Drosophila melanogaster: one gene and its partner. The protein of the gene in region 2 purifies or fractionates together with the protein of the main gene of each other region. This does not show direct contact. Each region holds a gene or a part of one and is shown on either strand. Other genes may lie near its edges.

Region 1 (4,997 bases), 8.1 Mb from region 2:
AGAGGCGAGAAAAAGCAGACGCCATAAGCCAAAAGCAACAAAAACACTTGCGAAAATAAAATAAAATCAAACACACAAGTTTAAATAGAAACATCTCTTTGCTAAAAATAAAATCGTTCGGCAAAAAAGGCAGCTACAACTAAATCTGTTGCTTGAACTTTTGACAATGTACAGTATTCGCTAGGAAATTAAAAGGAATTAGCTTTATGGAAATTTATTTATGTTAAACGAAATAAAATTATTTTAAACCAGACTCATTTTCTTTAAAAATTCGCAGTTTGCATTCGTTAATATTTTAAAAAGTTTTATGAGTGAAAGAAAAGCTAGTTCTATTGGTTAACTAAGCCAACCAAATCAAAACTGTTAGGTTTTAAAACTTGCAAACACGCGTTTCCCGACACAGCCATAATCTTATCGCTATCAAAATATCCAACCGCTTCTACGCCTGATAACAGTGTACTGTAGTACCGAATATGGAACATTTATGAGAACAGACGTCGCTTCCGTAGATAGTGGCAATGGTTTTTTAGCACGGCTTATCAATGCAAAATTATAAATAGTCGCAAGCCTATGGTCTCTAGTCAAAATTTGAGTACCGCTTGGAGTTGGAAGGTATAGCTAAGGGGCGTACAAAAGATTCAGATTCAAAAGCAGGGATAAAGCCAGTGGGCTAGATTCGCTTATCTTGATTTTCGATTGACAATAGAAAACTATAAATGGGTTTCAATACTGTAGCCAAAAGCAATGCCAACTTAAATGGTAGGATTAATTTTTAATTTTTGAAAGAGTCTTAGAACCATTACCTCTTTATGAATTTGGGGGATAATCGATATACAATTACACAATCATAACTCACCTTGCTTGCCGTTCTCGTCGCTGCATTTCGCCTAGCTAATCTCGCTTGAATTTTGATCGCTTTTCCGTAATTTTGATAATGATTTTTTTATCGACTGCCGCTGCTGCTTTTGTTTTTTTTTTTCCAACGTTGAGGCTGTTAATGTTGCTGACAGGCAACTGGTTTGATCCGAAATGCTGACTCTGTTTGACGAACAAACTGGAGGATCTGCAGGATCTGTGGGATGCGTGCGAATTGAGCGAATTATCCTCACCGCCCACACTCACACGCATTCGCGCACTCACTCACACTCACTTAGCGTCCGCGCATGTCGCGCATGCGAACAACACACACGGGAGATCCGTCGCTCTCTTTTGCTCTTTCCCCCGCTGGACGACAGGTGTGTGTACAGAGATTGCCTCTCTCCCTCTGTTCGCTAGCTTACAGTTATTCCAGTTGTTCCTTTTCCTTCTCTTTCTGCTGTTGTTGTTGTTGTTGCTATGGGGTCGTCGTTGTTTGACATCAAGTATGAAATTTGAGCAGCATCTCCTTGAAATTTCAGCTTTGGTGCTATACTTTCCGAATTTATTTTATGTTTTTGGTGAGCTGTGTGGTAGTTTAGTTATGTGTTCATATGTCAAAAGGCGGGCTATTTGTCGTAGGACTATTTTCCTATTGTTAATCGGCTTTAGGTTCCGGTGTAAATTAGCCAAGGCGAGTGTATCTATGTTGTTAAGAATTAAGGAAAACAGCCTCGTGCTACGCTGAACAACTATGTAAACAAATAATTTTGGCTAAACAATTTGACAAACACACTTTCGCACATTTTATCCAACAATTTTTGTGACAACAGATCTGAATCTCCGAATTCATTCAGATTGTTGCTATGATATTTTTCCTCCCAGTTTTTGATGACATTTTAGGCAAAAGGGACTATGTTGCTGTTTAAATATGTAGTTAAATTTCAATTAAGGGAAATTTAACCGGTCAGTATCACGCCTAAACTTTTAATGCTCACGATCGTGGAAATCAAAGCAATCTGAAAAATAAGAATGGAAAAGTTAAAGCAATTGTAAAAGAGCTGAATAAACAAAATTGTAAACGTAAAGATCGGTCTTAATTCCAAGCGCTTTGAATGTTTTGACGAAAGATCATGTTAACTGATACAAAATATAAAAAAACTCATATTACCGACGATTTAAACATTTTTCATTCTGTATGGATAATAAAAATAGTAAATAGACTAATGAATGTACGAAACTGCGGTATTTCTTTTGGTATGTTAGGCCAGCCATAGCGTATGCTGGTCACACTAAAAGCACTGATGAGAGCGCTAACTAAATTTGTTTTTTTTTTTCAATTGATTTTCATTTAATTTAGTAAGAGTTACTATTGACTTTAACTTAAAACTTTTAAAGTCATCGTCGCACAAATGAAAGTTACTCTCTTCTAAAAGGTACCAAATTAAAATTTAGAAAATTACAGAAAATTAGGCTAATTAGCTGCCATGGCCACCGCGCCGTATAAATTGTTGGAAAAATCTCTGGGGCCGCAAGGTCGAAGTAAATATTTCCGTACGTGATTTCGTTTATTTTTATAAATTTTCAAGTTTTGTTATTCGATGCAAAAAACGAGCCAAGGCGGCGATGGCCAAAGACCCAAAGAGAATAAGAGAGAGAAAACCAAGAAAGGCAGAGGGGCAAAGAGGCAGAGAGGGTGTAACTACTCGACTTTTGGCCATATTTTTTTCAATGGGCCTCCTTTCTGCCAACGCATCATTTTATAAGGTTTGCTTTGATCTTTACGGAATGAACGACTTGTGGGCTTTATTAATTAGGCAACTTTTAACTGCCGATTTACCTTTTATACAGTTTTGCACGCATTTTCATTACGCCTCATTTTTCACCCATACACTCTCACACGCACGCACGCACGCACAGACACAGTTACACACGTTCGGACCGAATATTGAAATTTGCAACTCGATTTGCTACTGTGCGCTCGTCGATTTCTGGATAACAACTTAGTTCACTACTTTTTATAAATTAAGCTGGGCTTGTGTTTAACTGATTTTCTACGAAACAATCCTCGAAAGACCAAAAAACGCACGCAAGAGAGCACGAGAAAAATGGTGCGATTTTTTCCCCTGCCTGCAAACACACACACACACGCTTATACATGGACAGAGACGGAGTAAGACCGTATAGAAAAACGAGGGAAATACTCTAGGCTGATTTAATGCTGATTACTGGTAAAAGAAAAATGGGATAATTTAATTAGCTTTTCCCGTTTATTTTAAACAGATACTTATATACTTGTGCTAAAGACAGAACTTACCTAAAGCCCTCTTTACATAAAAGATGTTTAAACATAATTATGAAATAAAAATACTGTTTAAAATACTGTTGCTGGCGAAACCAATTAGCCGGTAAATTTGTTTATCTACTCTTTAAAACTGTATAGGCCCACGGTAATATCTTTCGCGTTTAACTGATAATTTGTTTTTATAATATTATAAATTTTATCTTATTTATTGGTCCTGGATCCAAGGATTTCTCGGCAATTGGTATAGACATTTACACTTCACATTGTCTAAATTTGTAACTTATTCAACAACTGTGTACCATGCAATATATTTTGCTCTAATTTATTTAGTGTATAAAACCTTTTCAATATTTTAATTATAATTACGTTCGACACTGTTTTTGCGGCTGATTTGGGACTAAAAAACGAATCTGCCCAGTTCTAGGGTGACCATACAAAAACCTCTAATGAAATACCGAATTCTGAAATACCGCATCTGCAACACGTGCGAGTTTAGCTCTCTCTCCAACAAGTAAATAAATTTTATATTATATGCGATTTGTACAGGGAAACATCATGCCAGGAAAGTTGGTAAGATTGTCTAGATCTTTATGGAAACTATTTGGCCTATAACATACTTTGTTTAGGTGGGCTCTCCGAAGGGAGCTGCTCGAACAGGTACCCAAGCAATTGCACATGCCGGGGATCACAGCGACCTTGATGAACCAAAACCCAAAATCGCCAAGAGCGACCCACCATCCACTGCCATACCAAAGAAGAACAACTTCAAGCAGAGAGAAGGTACCAAGAATGTAAAGCCGCCCACTTTGGAGGAGATGAAGGAGCTACGAGACACCCAAAATCTCTTCCACTCCAATCTCTTTAAGCTTCAAGTTAAGGAAATGCTGGAGGAGCTGCAGTTAAAGCAGAAATACACAGATTTCATTGAAAACTGGCTTGAATCCTTTACGGCCTTTACCCGACAGCTAAAGGATGGCTTGATGGAGCGTACCCACTTGGAAGTTCCAATGAAGCTTTCTGAAAAGCCGACCGGATTTGTTTTCTCCAAGCCCACCAGGGAACCTTATCTGATCGGAGCCGCCGCCACGGGCACTTTGCTGGGTCCCAAAATTGTAGTGGATGTGGCCCTGGAGATGCCAAAAGAATCCCTGCACAAAGAAGATTACCTAAACCTTCGCTATGACCAGAAGCGAGCTTTGTATCTTACTTATGTGACGGAGAGGATGATGGAGTCCCCAGATTATGCAGAAGATCAGTTTAATTTCAACTACTATGCTAACAACCCGCTTAAGCCGGTTCTGGAATTGATCCCAGTTACTAAGCAAGTAAACAAGCACCTGCAAGTGCGTCTGTTCATCACTGCCCCATTAAGCAGTTTTAAGCCAGGCAGATTTGTTCCCTGGAACAACAATATTCGGCCCTCGTTTTACGGTGACGAATGGGACGAGAAAGATCCGCTGCCCTCCACCCAACACTACAACGCAAACGTACTGTTTGATCTAACTTTGTCCGAGAACCAGGCTCAATTGGATAAGGCCTTTAAGAGCAGGCGTAATTTTCAGGACGGCCTGCTGCTCCTTAAAGTATGGTTGCGTCAGAGGCAACTGGACATAGGTTACAGTGGGTTTGGTGCCCACATCTTAGCCGCTTTTATTGTGTACCTAAATACGCAGCGCATTCTGCATCAGTCAAGCAGCAGTTACCAAGTGGCACGCACTGTATGGAACCAACTGGCGAACACGGACTGGACGAAAGGCATTAGCCTGTCTGTTGCTCCCATTCAAACGGAAGAATTAAACAAGTTTGCCGAACACTATGACGTTTGCTTTATAGACTT
Region 2 (5,088 bases):
TGTAATCATGTAATCGGACAGCTAAAATATGACAATTGCTTTGCAAGAGTATAGTAAATAGCAAAAGAATTAATAAGTTATGAGTAATCAGACAGCGACTAGTGCCACCAAATACTCACTCTTCGATCAGTGCCACATCCGCACTATTTGGTTGGCTTGTGCTGGTGTCCTTGATCAGCGTCACAGCCGTTCCAATGCCTCGGGCTACCACACCCACGTCGCCCTCCAAATCGAAGCACTGGGTATAGCCGATGACTGCATTAGCACCCATATTAATAGCCTTTAGGCCCATTCTCCTCTGCACCTGACCCGACAACTTGAGAAACACCACCTGGCGAGCCTCGTTGGAAGCACGCGGTGTGCGTATTTTGTCGATCCACTGATACTCCGGATCGTCATTCACCACCAATTCCTCGACAAAGCCATGAATCACTTGGGCGCGGTAGCCAAATGGCACACACTGAGCTGTTGGAGATAAAAGGATAATTAATAGACCATTTCTTTAGAGAATATTTGTCTGCTTATACAGTGAAAGAAGGGGATGCCGCAGGAGCTCTGACGGAACTTGTTGACGTCCGAGAACAGGTCAACCTTCACAATCACATTGATCTCGCCGCGAATACCGTGCATAGTGTCGAAAACAGGAATCCAGCCGGATAACACGGTACCCTTGCCGTGCACCGCTTGACTAGAGCTCTCCAGGCACAGAGGATTCAAACTGATGTTGACCTTTCCAATCGCATCGTTCGCAGAGTACGTGTCGTAGTCCATCAGGCGGATTTGCAGGGGCTCATCCTGGAGCTCAGCGTCGTCCACCTCAAAACGGAACCTATCAGAAAGCAAATGTTACAATATATGGAGCTATTGAATGGTCAGACCTCACCAATCGGTATTCCAGGTGGGATTCAAACTCTTGCGGAAGACATCCGTCTTGTGGGTCACCGAGGCCAGTTTGATCTCCACGAAGGCGTCCGTGGTTTCGCTGCTTTTGTCCATCACGGGCAGGTTGCGCGCCGCCTTAATCTTCACCCCCACCTTGCCCGGCATCCTGTCGCACTCGCCTGTCGTCCCTTTTCACCAGATACCAGATTGTGACCACCGAATTTCGACCAAAGGGTTCACGTTTTATCTTGTGTTTTCCATTTTTCCCAGTGCCAAGTGTGGCCGTGGTCCGTGAATTGCAAATTACCTACAGATTAGTTACTTGTGCTGGGACTGCTCAATGTTTTAATTTGCTTTTTTGAATGAGAGTGGAGCAGTTTCTTAAATCATTAAGCAATAATCATCTTAAGTGTTTCCATCAATTCTAAACTAACTACTAGCGATCACCATTCCAACTAAAATTTGCTTAAACTCATTCCCTCCGGAGTTTGAATATATCTTTAATGCATGTTTATGGACTAGACTCTATTTGTTTGAACTATAAATTAATTCATTACGTATTAACCTGTTTTGTATATTAACTCTTGGAAAATTATAATAACAAGTTTTCATAGCTATATTGTCGCTGAAGGATGACAACACTGGCGCAAAAGAGCGACGAGTGGGCAGCGCTGCAACAAAAATCAATAGTCGCCGCCATATTTTTTCACTGAATGAAGACCAACGCGCTTCGCACACCGAATAATGTTAAGTTAAATAAGTTATTTAAGATAAGCTACTGTTGAAAGTGCGCCGAGTGACCAAGTGACCAGTAAGCATCAATAGAAACGATTAGTCGCTAGCAATAGTTCCTCGAATCGTCAATCTGCGGCATCCTAACGCTGCTTCTTCTTCTTCCTCCGGCTTCAGCAGTCTTAAAATCCGCGTCCGAGTGCGAAGAATACCAGTGCAAGTGGTAGTGCGTGTGATCTAGTGTACGAGAACAGCGAGAGAGGAGCATGGAAGGAGGCTCAGTGTCCTCGCCATCGATGGGCGGTCCACGTGGAGGCGGTTTCCGTGGACGGGGCGGTGGAGCGCCTATGCGCGGTGGCTTCGATCGCGGACGTGGTCGTGGCGGTCGTGGACACTTTATGGGTGGCATGCGCGGAGGCGGCGGCAGCGGAATGGGCGGAGGACCGCCCATGCAGGGCATGATGTCGGGTCCTCCGAGGGGAATGCGTGGATCCCGTGGTGGAATGGGCTATCAGGGACGCGGCGGCGGTTATCAGCCGCGTGGTGGCGCTCCCATGGGCATGCGGGGCGGTCGCCCACCTTTGTACTCGCAGCGTAAGTTTCCGCAGACAACCCTCGACTTCCTGCCATACCTTGTAAATCCAATCCAATCCAATTTAGCTCCCAAACAACACACAGGTGCCGAGAACAACAAGACCGTATCACCAGTGCCCACCTCGGCGATCAGTGGAGAACAGCCAGCGGTTGAAGCAGCCGGTGATGAGGTCACCGATGGCCAGACATCAGCGGTCGTCCCGTCTTCGGGCAACTCGCATGGCGGCAGTTCCGCTCCTGGGGGCAGCAACGGAGGAGGACCTCCTCCATATCTGGGCCGTGGACGTGGACGTGGTGGTCCCTTCAGTGGACGTGGACGTGGTGGCGGCGGCTACAATTCGCACATGAACGGCAGTGGAGGCGGCAGCATGTACGGTGGCTCCCACAGCCACCACGGCAATTCCATGGGCGGCGGTCCGGGCAGCGAGCACGGTTCGATGCCCAGGCGCGGAGGTCCTCGGGGCAGGGGCGGCTACAATCAAGGTATGAGTCGGCCACCCTTGCATCACCATCAGGCACATAATCCCAATACACAACTTGCACCGGTACCAGCTCTCAAACGCGGCGCTCCCGGTGGTCCTGGTCCCAAACGCGGTCGCTACGAGGGCGGTCCATATGGCCAACGGCCCATGACGCCCAAGTACCATTCAACACAGCAGCATATGGGTGGTGGAGGAGGCGGCGGCATGTCTTCGCAGTCCTCTTATGGCTCGCCGCCAAGTCACCATGCGCCACAACAAAGGTAAGGCATCGAATTTTCAAATATTATATAATCAAATCAATATAGTGCACACTTTCTAAATCTGCAAAAATAATTGGTACATTTTTTGACGCTGTTCTTTATCAGCCATCACAGCTATCAGACACACGAGCAGACCCAACAAGTGGACCCCTACGCGCAGAGCGGTTACAGCACCCAGACCACCCAGCAGGGATACAATGGCTATGGCCAGAGCGGTAGCAGCAGCTATGCGGCTCACACATCGCAGACAAGTGCTCCGGCGAGCAGCAGCTACGGAGCCCACCACAGCACCGAATACGATCAGAGCCAGTATCAGAACTACAAGTGGGTTACCTAATCTTGACGTCTCTCTCTCTACGTTTCTTGCCTTCAATTGGGCCACGCAAGTGCTAATGTATTGCTTTGTGCTTCCAAACAGCTCGACGGGCTATGCCGCACCGCAGGATACACGGTATCAGTCGTACAGCCAGGACTACAGCCAACAGTATGGCTCGACTGCAGTGGACTACAATGCTACCGGACAAGCGGACTACAGCCAGCACGGAGCGCAAAGCACTGGCTACGATGAGCGTGCCTACGCGGGTTATGGTAGGTTATTTCAGTTCCCTCCAGTTGCATCATCCGTCATCGGTGTCTTCTTTCAGATTCGCAGGCGTACTCGCAGAACTATTCAAATGCAGCCGCCTACTACTAAACAACCACTTCCCACTCCCACCCCTGACGGCACACTAGAGAACAGAACGCTGCGCGTGCTTCGATAGGCCAAAAAACCAAATAAGAAGGGACTAGGGCAGAGTAACATGGAAGGGAATATATGTTTAATGCAACAATTAACTTGCTATACATAACACGCAAACACACACATACGCGGTCACTCAAAGCATACAATTTTAGTTTTAAGTATAAAGTTCTCTTTTTCTTAGCATTTAAGCAAACTAGTGTTTCGACGTCTTTCTACATAAACCCCCACCCCAAATTAACATCCCCCTTTGTTTCCGTTTCGTCTCCCCATGAGTACTGAACAGATATATTGAAATAATCCGCCTTGCCTGTTGTTTAATGTTCTCTAAATAGACAAACGGAGCTAGACTGCACTGAGCTCCAGCCTAAGAAAATTAAATGTGCTCCTCCTTAGTTCCATTTACAATTACAAGTCAACTGTGACCAAAGTATGCTACAATCATATTTTTTATATGACGGAAAAATGAGAGTACGTAACATGATCTTTTGAATGAACTAAATTTAAACATTTTGTGAATCATGTAAAATTGTATACAAATGAATGCAATGTATATTTTAGTTTTTAAGCTGAAAACCGCAATCCACTCTCGACACAATTATTTTCTATCCCACATGCATCTGAAAGCGTTTATGATTTTGCAAGATTGTGTTTTTTTCTTTATGAATGACAAAAACGTGACAAAAGCGTGACTTATTACTTTTTTGTTTTACAAAAACCTCTTATAGTGACAATTTAAGCAAAAAAAAAAGTTCGTAATAATGTAACTCCTTAAATTTAAGCTGAAAAAAAAAACAAGTAACGAAATACACAAAGTATATTAGAAAAAGATGCAAAAACCATAACCATAATCAAAGTCAATAAAATAATGTTCAAAAATGTGTTTAATGCATTAAACTTATTTAAGCGTACATATTATTATTTAAAATATTTTGTTTAAAAGAAATCAATCAGTAAAACTGCAAATTATTAAGCAAAACAATCAATCAAAAGACGAATAATGAGTGAAAAATGTGAAAAAAAAACGTAAGACTGAATATATTCACGAACCGAAGCTGCACTGCAAGCATACAAGTCAAGAAAAATGAGAGACAAATGAATGAAATAACAGAGTTTTAAGTATTTACGAAACGATTACAACAAATACATAGAACAATTAATCGCCAAGCGATTATCAAAGTGCCAAGTATACCTGATCAACAAAACTCAGGATAAAAACTAAACGAAAATGCAATATACCGAATGCGTTATGAAAATTCAAGGACATCAGTCAATCAAATTTTTAAGATAGTGTCGCGAAAATATATTATCGAGAATTTTTACCATGATTGAGCTTACACGTACCATAACAATTCAATTAGATAAATATCTAAAATTACAAACTGAAAGCACTGAAAGT

What was found. The genes of interacting proteins can lie anywhere in the genome.
Region 1: the proteins of CG5746 (region 2) and gish purify together in Drosophila melanogaster (affinity purification with mass spectrometry, with the first as the bait; one large-scale study listed by BioGRID). This does not show direct contact.

What each region holds. Positions count from the first base shown.
Region 1 is NT_033777.3:16,271,029-16,276,025, reverse strand, and holds the start of gish (gilgamesh), read right to left. Parts: upstream 3,026-4,997; 5' UTR 2,696-3,025; intron 1,875-2,695; 5' UTR 883-1,874; coding exon 857-882; intron 1-856. Other genes in the region: Mat89Ba (maternal transcript 89Ba), read left to right, coding at 3,692-3,730, 3,787-4,997.
Region 2 is NT_033777.3:24,345,267-24,350,354, reverse strand, and holds CG5746 (uncharacterized protein), read left to right. Parts: upstream 1-1,563; 5' UTR 1,564-1,693; exon of another isoform or gene 1,694-1,791; 5' UTR 1,792-1,880; coding exon 1,881-2,208; intron 2,209-2,274; coding exon 2,275-2,950; intron 2,951-3,055; coding exon 3,056-3,274; intron 3,275-3,368; coding exon 3,369-3,538; intron 3,539-3,594; coding exon 3,595-3,644; 3' UTR 3,645-4,563; downstream 4,564-5,088. Other genes in the region: CG6454 (uncharacterized protein), read right to left, coding at 120-465, 528-829, 884-1,047.